3 linked regions of the Saccharomyces cerevisiae S288C genome follow. Changing the gene in region 1 together with any one later gene gives a genetic interaction. Each region holds a gene or a part of one and is shown in the gene's direction. Other genes may lie near its edges.

Region 1 (3,549 bases):
GAAACGGGCAAATGCTAAAATATAACTTCATTTTTATTGTTGGTGAACAAGAAATGAATGAAAAATCTGTTAACATTAGAAACAGAGACGTTATGGAACAACAGGGTAAAAATGCTACTGTTTCTGTTGAAGAAGTTTTGAAACAGTTGCGTAACTTGAAAGATGAAAAGAGAGGTGACAACGTCTTAGCTTAATGAGATTTTATGTAGTTAAATTTTGACTTATTTAATTTATGTTTTGTAAAGAATAAAATGAGTATGATGAAGGAATCTTACCTCTATTAACTATTTCTTCTTTTTTTTTCCTTCGATAAGATGTGCGCGAATTCAATATGGAAGAAAGCAATTTGGTATGCAGATGGTGTTCACCGGCAGTGTTTAAGTTACGAATATATAAAAACAAATTCAGGAACCCGCCGAATTTGGCCCAAACATATACCTATATACAAATTAGTGACCATACGCTATTATTACTCCGTCGTCTAGGAGCGGTTCCCACCATATCTCCCGCTCTGCAGTAAACGCTGATATTTGTCATCAGAAGAGGAATTATCGGTAGCATTACCATCGTCAGAAAATCCTGAGATAAATATATCGGATTCATGATCCACTGAAGCATCTGATTCCTGCGACTGATCTCTACTGGTGTTCCTTATATTTTCCCATGATGAAGACGAACTGTTGTCGCCGTTCCTGATTTTTTCCCAGGAAGACAGAACAGGACTGTCGTTTTGCTCTCCTTCAATTGGGTCAGGAGATTTTCTACCCTTATTACGATACAATCCTATAGGATCCCTTTGGTTCATAAAGGGCGAGCCGTTAAAAACTCCGCCTTTTTTCATTTGCTGCAGTTTGACTTTCGGGTCTGGCAATCTTCTCTCCGGATTTTGGTACGTTATGTAAAAGTACATCGACCACCTTGAGGGGGAGCCTGAATCTAATAAGCGCATCATATTGTACTGCCTTTGATTTCTCGGAATTTCTTTTGTTTGATCATGTTGAAAGGCTCCAAAGTCGTTGTCACCATATTTGTTGGAATAGTTATCCTTCAAAACACCTGTGGGGTCACGTTCGTTCAACTGTCGTGTATACATGGACCTACCAGCAAAATTTGTAGCAAAAAATAAAGCCATTACACCCAAGACAAAATTCCTCGGCACCTTAACACCTTTAATAGCCTTGGTCTTGTAGTAACGATAGGCAAATGGAGTTAAAAATACAGCTGAAAACCCAAGCCAACCACCCCACATCTCAGCTTTAGCAATGGATCTATAGGCCTTCGATAACTCCAGCCTGTCTCTTGCATCCAGCAATTCGTCTTTTTCATGAAATTCAATAGCATTTTCATAAGCCTTTTTAAACCAAGGCCTCTTCATAAAGGGTAGTTCATTTTCCATTCCCTTACCATTCTGGCCATATTGCTGTTCTTCTTCTTTTCCCAACATCACCTTGTTCTACGCTTGAAATTAGGCTGCTCCTTAAAACGAAAATCATATTAAGCATTGACACATAAAAAGTTCTGTTCTGCGTCAAAGTAGCATTAGCTCATAAGGCTTTCACCCTTGCTTGACTTACACCCGCGGAAATAAAAACACAGAAAAAGAAGGAAATAATGTATAAACAAGTAACTATGAACGAAATTTCCTGTTACGGATTGTTACGCTAGCTATTAAAATTCGTCTCGTCAAAGATCGACTGTAGCAGCGTGCTGCTGATGTCAAAGAATTGGGAGCCACAAGCTGGTGAAATGGTATCTGTCTTAGTACTCACAACATTCTAGGCTGCAAAAGAGGTTATACCGGAACAATAGTTGCTAAAATGGAATTCAGGAGATGGCTCCAACGCAACGATCAGGACGCCCGCTGATCTCACTCTTTAGTGTCCACACTATATAGTAACATTACATTCAATTGGAACCGTAATGTTGTATAAAATCTTTTGTCTTGCTGTATAGGTGCGTATGCAGCGTCTTCAATGGGATAAAGATATTCTATTTTTAATTTTTAAGGTGATCTTAATTTTTTGTTGGTTCTTTTTCAGTTTTTTGTCAAGCGAAAAACTACAGTTTCTACAGAAAAACACGTCAAGCTACAGTATAAGAACGGATTGTGAAGAACTCGGTGGAGAACATAGAAACAGACAAAAAATCATGGATTACTTTAATATCAAGCAGAATTACTACACGGGGAACTTCGTGCAATGTTTGCAGGAAATAGAGAAGTTTAGCAAGGTCACAGATAACACCTTATTATTCTACAAGGCGAAAACCCTTTTAGCTCTAGGCCAATATCAATCACAAGATCCTACCTCTAAGCTTGGCAAGGTACTAGACTTGTACGTCCAGTTCTTAGATACAAAAAACATTGAAGAATTAGAAAATTTGTTAAAGGATAAACAGAATTCACCATATGAATTATATCTGTTAGCCACGGCTCAAGCTATCTTGGGTGACTTAGATAAAAGTTTGGAGACATGTGTAGAAGGGATTGACAATGACGAAGCAGAAGGGACTACAGAATTATTGCTGCTTGCCATCGAAGTCGCTTTGTTAAACAACAACGTTTCGACCGCGTCCACCATCTTTGATAACTACACTAATGCTATTGAGGATACTGTTTCCGGTGACAACGAAATGATTTTAAACCTGGCTGAATCGTACATTAAATTTGCCACAAACAAAGAAACGGCAACATCCAACTTTTACTACTATGAAGAGCTATCTCAAACCTTTCCTACTTGGAAAACTCAATTGGGATTGCTCAATTTGCATTTACAGCAAAGAAACATAGCTGAAGCTCAGGGTATTGTCGAGCTATTACTATCTGACTACTATAGCGTCGAACAAAAAGAAAACGCCGTATTGTACAAACCTACTTTCTTAGCAAACCAAATTACGCTTGCTCTTATGCAAGGTCTTGATACTGAAGATTTAACAAATCAATTGGTTAAATTGGATCACGAACATGCATTCATCAAGCATCACCAAGAAATTGACGCAAAATTCGATGAATTAGTGAGGAAATATGATACGTCCAACTGATTTACGTAATATCTCACATTAAACATGTAGGTTTTTTAGAAAAAGAAAAAAATATTTCATGTATATGCCTATATACTATTTTGATAAAGCCGAATAAGATGGTACCATAAATGAGGTTGACATGGCTTGAACAAAATCATATAAAGTATAATTAACAAAGCGGAAACAACATTTGTCACGTTAGAATTATGCGTAAAGTAGCTAATCCTGGCAGAATAATTCAATGATTTTTTTTTAAAAGTATGTACACTATTATTTATTTTCTGGCATTTTGAACTAATTCTTCATTTTCTGTACGACCATGCACCCTTGATCTAAGCACTAGGGAAGTCGACATTATCATCGACCTTAAATGGGGTTGGAAGTGGAGCGTTAACATCTTTCATTTGCCTAACAGTTTCAATTAGTGCTACAGGTTCCTTGGGTTCCCTATCTCTTAAAACCACCACACCGTTATTTCCTTTGAATTTACGTACAGGAACAAATCTGTCGTCCTTAATAAAGGAAATA
Region 2 (3,758 bases), on another chromosome or scaffold:
TTAATCAGGAGATGAACAATGCCTATCTTTTGAAGCAGAAGAACGAGCCACTGTTAACTCAGCAACAACAGCAACAGCAACAACAACAGCAGCCATTTAATATAGGAACGCCTGTTTCGGTGGCTAGTTTGCCGCCCGGACTGAACGTTCTGCAGCAACAACAACAGCAGCAACAACAACAGCAGCAACAGCAGCAGGGAGTGGGACTCAATCGTCCCTTGGCTTCCCAGCTACCCAAGCATTTAACCAACCAAAGTATGCCACCGATCTTTTTACCACCCCCAAATTATCTTTTCGTTCGCGATGTCTGGAAGTCCAACCTTTACAGTGAATTCGCCGTTATAAGACAACTGGTCTCGCAGTATAATCATGTGTCAATCAGTACTGAGTTTGTGGGGACTTTGGCTAGGCCGATCGGCACTTTCAGGTCGAAGGTCGATTACCACTATCAGACAATGAGGGCCAACGTAGACTTCTTAAACCCAATACAACTTGGTCTTTCCTTGAGTGACGCCAACGGCAATAAGCCTGACAACGGTCCCTCAACGTGGCAGTTCAATTTTGAATTTGACCCAAAGAAGGAAATCATGTCCACAGAATCGTTAGAATTACTCAGAAAATCAGGTATCAACTTCGAAAAACACGAAAATTTAGGCATCGATGTATTTGAATTTTCGCAGCTTCTAATGGACTCTGGTTTAATGATGGATGATTCTGTTACTTGGATCACATACCATGCGGCATATGATCTAGGTTTCCTGATCAACATTCTAATGAATGACTCCATGCCCAACAACAAGGAGGATTTCGAGTGGTGGGTCCATCAATACATGCCCAATTTCTACGACTTAAACCTGGTGTATAAAATAATCCAGGAGTTCAAGAACCCTCAATTGCAACAATCTTCACAACAGCAACAGCAGCAGCAATATTCACTAACCACACTTGCCGATGAGTTAGGGCTACCAAGATTCTCTATATTTACTACTACAGGCGGCCAGAGTCTATTGATGCTTCTATCCTTCTGCCAATTGAGCAAGCTGTCTATGCATAAGTTCCCAAACGGTACGGATTTCGCCAAGTACCAAGGTGTCATATACGGTATTGATGGGGACCAATGATCATTTATGTACTATATGTATACACAATTTTAAAAAAAAAAGTTTAAAAGCAACATCAGCTTATGATTGGACATGTAGTAATACAGATTGGTTCTTCGATGCAATAAGCACTCTTCCACAGGAGATTGATGCGTTATTCCCGTATAGTTATCGGTCACGTGCGCTGTAGTTTGTTTAACCATTTATTTTTTCTTGGAAATTTTTTCGTCCAAAGCAGCGAAAAACATCAGGTGGCGATTAATGAAAGAATGACATATTGCAAGCAGCATAACCGTCCATTCCAGGGATAAGAGGAAGTACAAGCTTCTTTATTAATAGTTCTAGAGTGACTACATTATTTCAGATTAGGCAATATTACCTTTTCGTACCGTTTTTTTTTCCTGTCCACTGTTACTATTGTTACGGTTAAAAGTTCTATCGCAACCGGCGGACGTTAAACTAAGTCATTTGTTTTTTATCCCATTACTGTTTCAAAAAAGAGCAATTCATACCTAATTTGTACAAAACGAAGACTGTACAAGTGGTAGTACTTGACATAGGATATTTTGCTTGAGTATTAGAAGAATACGAAAAACTTCTTCAGTTTTCTAGTTACCGTTAGTACCAAAACTATTCTAGAGGAAGAATAAACAGTAAGATATTGCTTTAATTTATTTATATCACCTACCACAAGCTTTCGTTTTTTTACTCTGTTTAATTCTTCAAGTTGTGTTTTTTCCCTACATTTTAATTCATTTTTGCCCATTTAATTACATTTTTTTTTTTGTTTTATTATTTTCGTTCAAACCTCATTTTCTTTCAAATATTCAATTAGTCAATCATTTTACAGAGAATCTGTTGAAAACTTATTTTACTGATACATCTTTATTTTTCGTTGATTTTTAAAGAGAAAAAGATCACGAAGAATACTACAAAACCATCGCATTTTTTTTTTCAAGTGTGTTATAGTTTTATTACCTTGTCACTAATAGTTGCATTTGAAGTCATACCCTCGAATAGAAGTATCAAATAAAAGAAAATGGGTGTTACCGTTCAAGACATATGTTTTGCCTTTTTGCAAAACTACTACGAAAGAATGAGGACCGACCCTTCCAAATTGGCATATTTTTATGCAAGTACAGCCGAGTTGACGCATACTAATTATCAGTCCAAGTCAACAAACGAAAAAGATGACGTTCTTCCAACGGTGAAAGTTACTGGACGTGAAAACATTAATAAGTTTTTTTCTAGAAATGATGCCAAAGTTAGGAGCTTGAAACTAAAATTAGATACTATAGATTTCCAGTACACTGGGCACTTGCACAAAAGCATTCTGATCATGGCCACGGGTGAAATGTTTTGGACAGGAACTCCGGTCTATAAGTTTTGTCAAACATTTATCCTGCTACCATCCAGCAATGGGTCTACGTTTGACATTACCAATGATATAATCAGATTTATTTCCAATTCATTCAAGCCTTATGTCTTAACAGATGCTTCTTTGTCACAATCTAACGAGGAGAACTCTGTCAGTGCAGTTGAAGAAGATAAAATAAGGCATGAGTCCGGAGTTGAAAAAGAAAAAGAAAAAGAAAAATCACCAGAAATATCGAAACCAAAGGCCAAAAAGGAAACGGTCAAAGACACAACTGCGCCAACTGAATCGTCAACTCAGGAAAAACCAATTGTCGATCATAGTCAACCTCGGGCTATACCCGTCACTAAAGAGTCCAAGATTCACACCGAAACGGTACCATCTAGTACTAAGGGCAACCACAAACAAGATGAGGTCTCTACAGAAGAGTTAGGAAACGTTACTAAACTAAATGAAAAATCTCACAAAGCCGAAAAGAAAGCTGCACCAATCAAGACAAAGGAAGGCTCTGTTGAGGCCATAAATGCTGTTAATAACTCTTCTTTGCCCAACGGTAAAGAAGTTAGTGATGAAAAACCGGTACCTGGGGGCGTAAAGGAAGCTGAAACTGAAATTAAACCAATAGAGCCACAGGTTTCCGACGCCAAAGAATCCGGCAATAACGCTTCAACACCTTCATCTTCTCCAGAGCCCGTTGCGAATCCACCAAAGATGACATGGGCCTCAAAGTTGATGAATGAAAACTCCGACAGAATTAGCAAAAATAATACCACGGTTGAATACATCAGACCTGAAACACTACCCAAGAAACCGACTGAAAGAAAATTTGAAATGGGGAATCGGAGGGACAACGCTAGTGCTAACAGCAAAAATAAGAAAAAACCAGTATTCAGCACCGTTAACAAGGACGGCTTTTATCCAATCTACATTAGAGGTACAAATGGCTTAAGAGAAGAAAAATTGAGAAGTGCCTTAGAAAAAGAATTCGGTAAAGTTATGAGGATAACAGCTGCAGACAATTTTGCCGTCGTCGACTTTGAAACTCAAAAGAGCCAAATCGATGCTTTAGAGAAGAAGAAAAAGTCAATTGATGGTATTGAAGTATGCTTAGAAAGAAAAACAGTAAAGAAGCCCACGAGCAATAATCCTCCTGGCATATTTACTAATGGAACACGTTCTCATAGAAAGCAACCCCTAAAAAGAAAGGACTAGTCAACCACAAGCCTTTTAAAAAGAAAAATTGAAAAAATAATAAAAAAATTTGAAAAAGAAAAAAAAAAATC
Region 3 (3,559 bases), on another chromosome or scaffold:
CAGTATACGTGTCATTTTTTTTAATTTGGCTCCTTGTGCTCTGTTGTAGAGAATTGATTGAAGATGATGAACCGTTTAGTTTATTCTGATTTATTAGTTTTTCCCTCAATTTCAATTCGTGTGCTTTTCTTTCTAATTCTTGAATTCTTTTTTGTAATTCTTTAGCTGACTGGGCCTCTAACTCTTCCAGTTTTTGTTGTCTTGCTAAAATTCTTTCATGTCTCAAGACATATGGAACGGTTTCTGAAATATTTCTTAACTTGGTACGCTCTGGTAAGTCCGGAGAGTTCAAGAATTTTGGTGAAGATTCTGTTTTGATAGATCTTATCAAATTTTCATTTTCTTGTTTTATTTCTCTACCCAACTGTCTCACGGGAGACATTTCCTGTTCATTTTCTGCTGAATCATGTTCGCCATTGTCTTCGTATTCGTTTTCCTTAAAGTTTCCACTTACTTGGTTTCTTGGTGTGTCCGCTCTCAAATTGTTTGCAAGAGTTTGAGAAGAATTGAATTGACCAGTGCTTATCAAAGAGGCAAAGTTGCTTAAACTTGGAGCATTTGACTGTCTCTTTGTAGAATTAGGACCAATTTCTTCAGCGTTGGCCACGGACGATAGTTTTTCGGAACGGTAATTCTCGTAAAGCAAATTTTGCGTGGTGTCTTTGAATTCTTGTAAGTGAGAACCAAACAGGACGTTTTTTAAAACTTTCAAATCCGAAATTTTGTCGTCGTCGATTGATATTATCCCCCACGGATACTCCCTAACGTATCTACCTTCACTATCTCTGGTATCTGAAGTTATAATAGCAAATGGTTGCAAGGATGCCAAGGCTTGATTCTCTTCCATGGATTCCAAATCATCATCTTCAGGGTCAACCTCAAATTTGTAAATTGGGACGTTGTATCTTTCCACATCAAACATAATATTTTTCCTGAATTGAGTTAGCTCCTCCTTGGTGAATGAGTCAGCTCTTGTTATTATTGGCAGTACATTTGTGTATTTGGAGATGCTTTTCATGAGCTCTACATCGACTTCTCTCAGACCGTGTCCAGTGGGTTCAATAAAATATAATGCTACGTGAACCCTGGTGTCCTCAAACCTCGGATTCCTTTTAATTCTGGTTTCCTCAGCTAAAACAATGTCAAATTGTTGTTCTAAATACGACATAACTTCCTCAGAACACAACGAATCGTCCAAGTTTTCGCCTATACCATGCGTCATAATCAAGTTGAAAAACACGGTATCATCCTCGTTCATTTCTGGCTTTCCTTGATCTTTGTTGCCCCCAAGTTCTAATGAAGTGGAGGTGATGGTAATACCTGGTTCCAAATTGGCTCTCATTGGATCGAATTCAGAAACATAAGATGGAATCCCATTTTTCGAATTAAATGAAACAACTTTTGTCGGAGCAATAACTTTTACTTCTGGGTTAGAGCTAATACTAGCATTTGATTTACCGTATTGATACTTATGCGGAAAGATCTTAGTTTCCAATAGATTGTTAGCAAAGGCGGTCTTTCCTGTACCTGCTGGCCCACATAGTAACATTGTGTATGTGATCCCACGTTTATGTTCTTTCTTTCTACGAAATAAGTTAATTGGCGGTGTTGAAGCAGTGCTCATGATTAATAATATATTTTTCTAGCAATTATAAGCAGATCTTTGGGGCTCTTGTTTTATTATTTCACTTGCTGGGTACATTGATCTTGCTCGAAAGCTTGTTATATTCTTTTCGCAGTTTGGCACTTTAAAAATCGCGCGGTTACCCGCAAGCAACGCCAGTTTTTGTCAAGAACCAAATTGCACAACTATATCAAGAATGAAAGCAGAAATATGGACGTGATTCTGAGTTTAAATGGTGCCAATTGAGCAATTTTATCGCGGATTATAGAGCATGTCAGATTGGAAAGTGGACCCAGATACCCGCAGGCGTCTTTTGCAATTGCAAAAGATTGGTGCAAATAAGAAATGTATGGATTGTGGTGCGCCAAATCCACAATGGGCCACGCCTAAGTTTGGAGCTTTCATTTGCCTTGAATGTGCCGGTATCCATAGAGGGCTTGGTGTGCATATATCTTTTGTAAGATCTATCACTATGGATCAGTTTAAACCGGAGGAACTTCTTCGTATGGAAAAAGGTGGTAACGAACCTTTGACTGAATGGTTCAAGTCGCATAATATTGACCTGAGTTTACCACAAAAAGTGAAATACGATAACCCCGTCGCAGAGGATTATAAAGAAAAGTTAACATGTCTTTGCGAAGATAGAGTATTTGAAGAGCGTGAGCATTTGGATTTTGATGCTTCCAAGTTATCAGCAACCTCTCAAACCGCTGCATCCGCTACGCCTGGTGTTGCTCAAAGTCGAGAAGGGACACCACTGGAGAACCGTCGATCTGCAACACCAGCAAACTCTAGTAATGGTGCCAATTTTCAAAAGGAGAAGAACGAAGCTTATTTTGCTGAGCTGGGCAAGAAGAACCAATCTAGACCAGATCATTTGCCCCCTTCTCAAGGTGGTAAATATCAGGGCTTTGGAAGTACACCCGCAAAACCTCCACAAGAACGGTCTGCAGGGTCCAGCAATACTTTGAGCCTGGAAAATTTTCAAGCTGATCCTTTGGGAACATTGAGCAGAGGATGGGGCCTCTTCTCCAGCGCTGTAACCAAATCGTTCGAGGACGTAAACGAAACGGTTATTAAGCCTCACGTCCAGCAATGGCAATCCGGAGAGTTGTCAGAAGAAACGAAGAGAGCAGCTGCCCAGTTTGGCCAAAAGTTTCAAGAAACGAGTAGTTATGGATTCCAAGCATTTAGTAACTTCACTAAAAATTTCAATGGTAATGCAGAGGATAGCTCTACAGCAGGGAATACAACCCATACAGAATATCAAAAGATTGATAATAACGATAAGAAGAATGAACAGGACGAGGACAAATGGGACGATTTCTAATTTTAATATAGTTTTTCTCAACATTCAAGGAAAGTTCAATTCACATTGTAGCTATAATGGAGAAGTGGTTCTGTAAAGTTTACACGTAATACTTCTGTCTCTAAATTTGTATTTTTCATATCTTGACAAGAAGAGGTTTACTCTCTAGGATTATAAATAAGTCTACACCAGTATTCATAAATAGTTACCACAAGGCCATATCGTAAATTATTATACAACCTATTAATTACAAATAGAATTGCAATCCTTTCCCATCGGCGTTGTTGTACTGTTGCAAGGCTAATGACGGCTATTATTAAAAAATGTTTTAGACCTGGGACAATCGTTATCCTTTTCTTCATTATTTGGATGTTTGCGCCTTAAAATTATCCTGGGCACGAGTGAAACAAAGCTAAAACCTTTATTTAGCATGGCCATTGAATGTAACAATTATATATATCGCAAGCACAAAAAATCAAGGAGAGAGAACTACCACTTTGTTCATGTGTACAATGTTCATTATCTCCATAAGCAAAAAAAAAAAATAGAAAACATATGCTATAAGGTTGATATTCTCACGAGTAAGCGGCACTTGCTACTTATTGACATTGCAGATTTTTGGCTAC

Evidence for each region.
Region 2: mutations in SEC28 (region 1) and BRE5 together harm fitness more than expected from each alone (negative genetic interaction), as found in Saccharomyces cerevisiae (4 studies listed by BioGRID).
Region 3: mutations in SEC28 (region 1) and GCS1 together harm fitness more than expected from each alone (negative genetic interaction), as found in Saccharomyces cerevisiae (4 studies listed by BioGRID, with this or other methods).

Annotation. Positions count from the first base shown.
Region 1 is NC_001141.2:214,510-218,058, forward strand, and holds SEC28 (coatomer subunit epsilon), read left to right. Parts: upstream 1-2,148; coding exon 2,149-3,039; downstream 3,040-3,549. Other genes in the region: threonine--tRNA ligase THS1, read left to right, coding at 1-194; RCI37 (Rci37p), read right to left, coding at 482-1,444; proteasome regulatory particle base subunit RPN2, read right to left, coding at 3,354-3,549. UniProt on the Saccharomyces cerevisiae protein: The coatomer is a cytosolic protein complex that binds to dilysine motifs and reversibly associates with Golgi non-clathrin-coated vesicles, which further mediate biosynthetic protein transport from the ER, via the Golgi up to the trans Golgi network.
Region 2 is NC_001146.8:716,709-720,466, reverse strand, and holds BRE5 (Bre5p), read left to right. Parts: upstream 1-2,139; coding exon 2,140-3,687; downstream 3,688-3,758. Other genes in the region: CCR4-NOT core DEDD family RNase subunit POP2, read left to right, coding at 1-1,121. UniProt on the Saccharomyces cerevisiae protein: Has a role in de-ubiquitination. In conjunction with UBP3, cleaves ubiquitin, leading to the subsequent mono-ubiquitination of sec23.
Region 3 is NC_001136.10:50,510-54,068, reverse strand, and holds GCS1 (GTPase-activating protein GCS1), read left to right. Parts: upstream 1-1,895; coding exon 1,896-2,954; downstream 2,955-3,559. Other genes in the region: septin SHS1, read right to left, coding at 1-1,624. UniProt on the Saccharomyces cerevisiae protein: GTPase-activating protein (GAP) for ARF1 and ARF2. Involved in intracellular vesicular transport. Required for transport from the trans-Golgi network.